Linked DNA regions of Macaca fascicularis. The protein of the gene in region 2 interacts with the protein of the main gene of each other region in a pairwise test. Links are inferred from orthologs where the notes say so. Each region holds a gene or a part of one and is shown on either strand. Other genes may lie near its edges.

Region 1 (3,964 bases), on a different chromosome or scaffold from region 2:
CTTACCAATGGAATACTTTTACAAGGATCAAAATTTCTCGCTGCAGCCATGAAAAAGAATGAGAGCTGGCGGCCATTATCCTTAGCGAAATAACGCGGAAACAGAAAACCAAATTATCACATGTTCTCACTTGTAAGTGGGAGCTAAATAAAGAGATCACATGGACACTAGGAGGGGAACAACAGACACTGGAACCTACTTGAAGGTGGAGGGTGGGAAGAGGGAGAGAATGAGAAAAAATACCTATTGGATACTATATTACCTGGGTGACGAAATAATCTGTACACCAAACCCCCGCGACAAGCAATTGACTTATATAACAACCCTGACATATACTCCTGAACCTAAAAGTTAAAAGAAAAAAAAAAAAAAACCATATACTAAAATGAAAACGATTCTCACTGTAACAATATTATCCCCTCGTGATTATTATATTCCTAAGTTTTAGGCACTTTTACAACCTGCTCGCTGCCCCCAGCTCTCTTAACACAGCATCCAGGACATAGTGGGCGCTTATAAATACTGATGGAATTAAACTGAGCGCTTATGCTAGCATATTTAGACCAGTGCTTTTCAAACGTCAAGGTGCATGTGAATCCCTGGGGACACCGTTAAAATGCAGATTCAGAGTTAGAAAGTCTGGTTGGAGCCTGACATTGGGCATTTCCACCGAGTTCCCATATGATGTTTGTCTATGTTCTGTATTTTTCAAGGTCTCAGAAAATGAGACCTCCCTATCCATATACAAATATGAGTCTCACAAACTGTGAAAATTTAATGAAAGTTTACAAAGAGCATAGAAGTAGATGTTTCCTCTTTTCCCCTACCCTCCCAATAAAGGGAACAAATTAGATGCGAGGTTCAATGGAAAGAGTTGCAACAGCATCCAGGCGCTCGCTCTCCTCCGGTCTTCCTGAGAGACAGGGAAAGGGGTAATGAGAGGAAGGAGGGAAGTGTCCAGGAGCTCCCACGCTGCTGTTCCTCTTCCATTTTCAGCTTTTAAAGAACACCCGCCCCTTCGAACCACCGAGGTCATGGGCGAATACACCGGAGCGCAGCACCGCGCCCCCCCTGCCCGCCTCCGCGCCCTTGCCCAGACCGAGGCGGCCGACGCGCCTGCGTGCGCGCTAGGTATAAATAGGTCCCAGGAGGCAGCCACTGGGCAGAACCGGGCTGCAGGAGCCGCGGGCCATGGCGGGCGAGAACCACCAGTGGCAGGGCAGCATCCTCTACAACATGCTTATGAGCGCGAAGCAAACGCGCGCGGCTCCTGAGGCTCCAGAGACGCGGCTGGTGGATCAGTGCTGGGGCTGTTCGTGCGGCGATGAGCCCGGGGTGGGCAGAGAGGGGCTGCTGGGCGGGCGGAACGTGTCGCTCCTGTACCGCTGCTGCTTTTGCGGTAAAGACCACCCACGGCAGGGCAGCATCCTCTACAGCATGCTCACGAGCGCAAAGCAAACGTACGCGGCACCGAAGGCGCCCGAGGCGACGCTGGGTCCGTGCTGGGGCTGTTCGTGCGGCTCTGATCCCGGGGTGGGCAGAGCGGGGCTTCCGGGTGGGCGGCCCGTGGCACTCCTGTACCGCTGCTGCTTTTGTGGTGAAGACCACCCGCGGCAGGGCAGCATCCTCTACAGCTTGCTCACTAGCGCAAAGCAAACGCACGTGGCTCCGGCAGCGCCCGAGGCACGGCCAGTGGGCGCGTGGTGGGACCGCTCCTACTTCGCGCAGAGGCCAGGGGGTAGAGAGGCGCTACCAGGCGGGCGGGTCATGGGGCTTCTGTACCGCTGCTGCTTTTGCGGTGAAGACCACCCGCAGCAGGGCAGCACCCTCTACTGCATGCCCACGAGCACAAATCAAGTGCAGGCGGCTCCGGAGGAGCGGCCGAGGGCCCCCTGGTGGGACACCTCCTCTGGTGCGCTGCGGCCAGTGGCGCTCAAGAGTCCACAGGTGGTCTGCGAGGCAGCCTCAGCTGGCCTGTTGAAGACGCTGCGCTTTGTCAAGTACTTGCCCTGCTTCCAGGTGCTGCCCCTGGACCAGCAGCTGGTGCTGGTGCGCAACTGCTGGGCGTCCCTGCTCATGCTTGAGCTGGCCCAGGACCACTTGCAGTTCGAGACTGTAGAAGTCTCGGAGCCCAGCATGCTGCAGAAGATCCTCACCACCAGGCGGCGGGAGACCGGGGGCGACGAGCCACTGCCCGTGTCCACGCTGCAGCCCCATTTGGCACCGCCGGCGGAGGCCAGGAAGGTGCCCTCCGCCTCCCAGGTCCAAGCCATCAAGTGCTTTCTTTCCAAGTGCTGGAGTCTGAACATCAGTACCAAGGAGTACGCCTACCTCAAGGGGACCGTGCTCTTTAACCCGGGTAAGGGTACTGGCCTTGGGCGCCGGCTTTTCCCAGCTCACAAAAGCATCAGGCAGTGCCTATCTAGGGGCGCGGGCAGTAAGGAGTTTTCAGTGATCAGGAGAGTGTCGGGACAAAGGTGAAGAAATCATGACTAACTCAGCAGAGTTGGGGTGGGGGGCTCCAGGAACCACTTCTCCTGAGTGGGCTGCTGTCAGAAACTCAGCCAAGAGGAGGGGAGTTGTTTGTTTAGGTTTGTACTTAGCTCTTTACACGTTTCTTACTACAGAAAAGTTTGTGCCTTCATGGGAAATGGTTATTCTTTCTTTAGCTTTCTTTGAAGTCCAGAGCATATCTTTTTCTAAAAAAAGTTTTTGCTCACTGAAGATTCTGCGACATCGATTTCTGAAACTCCATTCTGAAATTTACTAGAACCTTTTTTTGGGGGGAGGAGATCTATTAGGGCTAGCAAAAAAGGAAACATTTGTTAAAGGGTCCCATAGAGAGACTATTCCCTAGGGACACTGTCAGACAGTACACTGGATGTAGTGTTTCATAGGCCTGCCTCTGAATGGTTATTTGTATGGTCCTAAGCATCTGGACTATCCCTTCCTCCAAATCTCTGTGAAGAATATCAGGTTGGCAAAGGGATAAGAAAAAAAAAAAAAAAAAAGTCACTTTAGGGACTGAGAGCAGGAACACTGTATTTTAGAATTCAAAGAGACTTTAGAGACCTCCTAATCAACCCCCTTTGCTCTGTAACCTTCCCCCACCGCATTTTACTGTGTAGGTGGATGTGTCCCAAGGTCCCAAGTGACCTTACTCCAAAGTAAATGGCTGGTGTGTTGTGGCACCTGAGGGTCCTATCTTCTGGGCCCTGTGGGATGTCGGCTGCACCAAACTTTCAGGTTGTCTGTTGGGTGCAGGACACACTGTCCCACAGGGTGCAACCAAATCACTGGGGGAACATCTCCCTGGACAGCCAGGCACCTTGTCTTGGGTGTTTCTCTCTACTAGAATCATCTTCAACCAGCGTCCTTTTGAAATGATTGAAGTGGAAAAAAATTTTCCAGGCAACTTGAGTTGGGATAGTTTCCATAATGCTCCTTTTGTATCTTTTCCCTGGTGCTGGAATCTCTGATTATGTCCTGGCCCCCTGCCTAGCATTTTTGAGAGTGCATAATATATATAAATATATTTAATATATATATTTAATATATTTAAATTTATTATATGGGATATACAAAAGACAAACAGCAAAGAGAGGCCACAGTCTCAATAGGCGTTACCTTTCTCCCCAATATAGGTACATTTGAGTTTCAAACACACTCAGCTTAGCTGGTTAAACTCATACTGAGAAAGGATTAGGAAAAGTCAATCAAGAACAAGGAAGAAGTGTGCGTGTGTGTGTCTGTGTGTGTGTGTGTGTGTTAAAAGTATATAAAACAGGGTCAAGGGAAAGAGGGAAACTATTGATACTGAAACTAATGGAATGTAAATTTCTGGAAGGTGAGCCCCTTTCACCTTTATATCCCAACAGGACAAGGAACGTAGTGGATGATTAATAATACTAGCTGAAGGAATAAGAAGACTGTTTTCCAAATTATCTTGAGAATCATCTGTGAC
Region 2 (3,500 bases):
CTATTCATAAACATCTGAAAACGCTAGTTCTGTTGCACTACAACTACTAACTGATTTTCAGAAAATGGGATACAGTGATTGCCTCAATCTATATTCCAACTCTTTTTAGTTAATGGCAAAAAGCAGGGGGCTTGCATTTCAGCAATGTACCAGTCATCCTTTCAAATTGCAGCTTGGCTCCATAAAACCATGAGCTCTTTAAAAACAATGCATACCGTACATAAGGGCACCTCAGATGGAACCAGCAACCTATGCTTGTTATTAGCAGTGCCCATTCTTGTTTTAATCTATTGCTAGCTAGTGTGTTAACCTTCTATAGCTCCAAATTAATGAGGCCCCTAATGTATTTTCATTGGGAGGTTGAGCAGTCAAACTCATTTAGTTAGTGAAAACTACAAAAATCACTTTCTTGTGAAATCTGAATCTAACAGCTCCAATGAACTAATGATCACAGTATGATCCATTTTATGTACCTCTGCAAATAAAGATAACCAGTAAATGTAAAATTCACACTATATAAGCTATGCATTAATATGCTTATGCTTCCACAAAATGACTAGGTAAAAAAAGGCTGGAGAGAGAAAACCACAGATATCTCTAAAAGAAAAAACAAGATAATAAGTGAGTTCCTGTCGCTCCTCACAGACAATCCTTGGGAATAGAGCCACCGTTCTCCAACAAAGAGAAGTCTCCTTGGAGTCAGTAGGGATGGGCATGCCAAAGTTGATGTACATAGAGCCAACTGGGAGGATTTCATGTTCTGGGAAGCCAGACACATCTGCTGTACTTACATGGCTTTTTGGCTGGCTGAACCAGCTGAGGGTTCAGGTATGGGCTGTTCTCCGCATCTATTCTGCGCTTGTACTTCTGCCGACCTCCACGTACTCTGTCAAGACGCACCCCTGTGAGCAAAGACAGGCAGCAGCTTACTATTAAGGTAGCTATGTTTGAGACCAATCAAATACATAGACAGTATCCCCCAAGGGCACATAGTTGACAAACAGTAGAATGCTGAATGAACCAGGAGTACTCAAATAATGTAAATAAGTGGTGGCTAAATCAAAATTGCCAGAGGTTGAAAACCAAATCTACAAGTAGATGACAGATCCAAAAGACATTTATGCAAAGCCACCAAGGTCACTATTTGCACATCAAAGAAAAGGCAGATTTCCATGTAGATTAATACAAAGAAGCCGCTATTTGGTGCTAGTACAGTTTCTTATATTAAAGACACTGGCATTTAGTATCCTCTTCATCAGTCAGCCCTGAAAGCTCAATGTGTAGCAACGAGTAGACCAAGAGCTATCCAACTTTCCTCCAGTCTGCCAGAGGCCTCAGTGTGGACATGTGGAACTGAGCTGAATAAAGAGCACCTATGTGCTGGGGAGGAGGGAGGCTGGAATTACACTACACAAGATTCAGTCCTGAGAGACACAAAAATTGTTCCATATCAAAATGTCAATATGTCGCTGAAGGGGAGTGTTATTTACATTTTGGCACAAATTTGTATTTCCTCTCATATGTGAGAAAACTGAGAGCAGGTTTGGGCTGAACACAGGATAGAAAGAGGAGCTTCCCGGCCAGGTGCGGTGGCTCATGCCTGTAATACCAGCACTTTGGGAGGCTGAGGCGGGTGGATTACCTGAGGTCGGGAGTTCAAGACCAGCCTGACCAACATGGAGAAACCCCATCTGAACTAAAAATACAAAATTAGCTGAGTGTGGTGGTGCATGCCTGTAATCTCAGCTACTCAGGAGTCTGAGGCAGGATAGTTGCTTGAACCTGGGAGGCGGAGGTTGCAGTGAGCTGAGATTGCGCCACTGCACTCCAGCCTGGGTGACAGAGTGAAACTCTGTGAAAGTAAGAAAGGAAGAAAGGAAGAAAGAGAAGGGAAGGGAAGGGAAGGGAAGGGAAAGGAAGGGAAGGGAAGGGAAGGGAAGGGAAGGGAAGGGAAGGGAAGGGAAGGGAAGGGAAGGGAAGGGAAGGGAAGGGAAGGAGAGGGAAGGAGAGGAGAGGAAGAGGGAGGGAGGGAGAAAGGGAGGGAGGAAGGGAGGAAAGGAGGGAGGGAGGGAGGAAGGAAGGGAGAGAGGAAGGGAGGGAGGGAGGGAGGGAGGAAGGAAGGAAGGAAGGAAGGAAGGAAGGAAGGAAGGAAGGAAGGAAGGAAGGAAGGAAGGAAGGAAGGAAGGAAAAGAAGAGCTTCCCAAAGAATTTGGAATGCTTGGATGTCAAAGGAAGGGTATGTTAATAGGAGAGAGCTAAAGGGTGAAGTTGGAAAGTGGGCAAAAGTAAACTGGGAGGAATAGAACTTTTTCCAAATAGTGATTGGTTGGGTCAAGATTCAAAGGGGATTTTCTGGCAGTGGATTTAAAAGATTAAGGAAAAAGCCAAGGGAATGAATGGGATTGCAAATATAGGAAAACTTCAATAATATCAGGAAGTGATAGGGAAGAGCTTGTTAATCCAGGTTCCAGCCTGTAATTGTAAAGTTTAGCACAGGACCATATAAATCCCTACCAAATATAGGGATGATTACTTGGGAGCAGAATTGAGGAGACACTCTTTTGCAGTATTACGTTGTACCTTAATTGATGTAACAATGTAAAATTATCTATTAAGAAGTTCAATCATGTAATTAATAGTACATATTTTGACATTTCTCAAACTGTTTAGGAAATAGATCTGGTTTAACAGCATCATCAGTATTACTATTTTATTTAAGCCCTCTCAGAGCCATTAGTAGGCGATGGGGTCTGTAAAACTCTAAGAGGAAGCTACATAGCACATGCAATGTTTTGCAAACCAATTGAACCAGAGCTCCCACTTTTTTGGAATACTGATTAATGTCATGCAGAATACGCGAGCTGTGGGTTATCTGAGTTACATGAAACTATTTGGGAAAAGCAGATCTATTTCTATGTGAATATTTACGGTGAATATATTACTCAAATATTAAAGATTATTAGGAAAACAATTTTTAATATTATCTTAATAATACTACTTTAAGAATTGGTTATCTTTTAGCAGAACACACAAATAGTTGGTTATAGATAAAGCCTGAATTGTCATATTGAAACCTCAGAATATAGTATAAATAAAATCAGGAGACAACTTTGAGAAAAGTTAAATAGGTTAAACAAACAAATATCAAAAACCAAAGAAGTTAGGTAAGGTTATTAAGCGTTCACTGAAAATTGCCATGCATGTTGGTCACAAAGAAGTTATATTTCTTTATTGCCGCTTTTAAAGCACTTCATGCCTACAGCATATATGTTCCTTTGTTCATCTAATTCCTAATATTCTATTTTTATTGCATCTATATTTAATAAAGTTTAATGCCTTCTACTTCTCTCCACTTTCATCATGATTTATTTTTTTTTTTTATCTCTTTCTCTTCAAACTTTTCTTCAGAATATTTTCCCAGTTGAAGGTGACCACATTTTATCTGGTCATCGAAGATACATTCAAACCTGTTTCATTACAAGAATTTTGAAAATTCAAAA

Evidence for each region. The genes of interacting proteins can lie anywhere in the genome.
Region 1: the proteins of ESRRG (region 2) and NR0B1 interact in binary tests that used the Homo sapiens proteins (3 or more experiments, as listed by UniProt). The link is inferred for Macaca fascicularis from reciprocal best matches to the Homo sapiens genes ESRRG and NR0B1.

Annotation. Positions count from the first base shown.
Region 1 is NC_088395.1:30,316,413-30,320,376, reverse strand, and holds the start of NR0B1 (nuclear receptor subfamily 0 group B member 1), read left to right. Parts: upstream 1-1,164; 5' UTR 1,165-1,191; coding exon 1,192-2,359; intron 2,360-3,964. UniProt on the Homo sapiens protein: Nuclear receptor that lacks a DNA-binding domain and acts as a corepressor that inhibits the transcriptional activity of other nuclear receptors through heterodimeric interactions.
Region 2 is NC_088375.1:74,372,874-74,376,373, forward strand, and holds part of ESRRG (estrogen-related receptor gamma), read right to left. Parts: intron 903-3,500; coding exon 792-902; intron 1-791. UniProt on the Homo sapiens protein: Orphan receptor that acts as a transcription activator in the absence of bound ligand. Binds specifically to an estrogen response element and activates reporter genes controlled by estrogen response elements.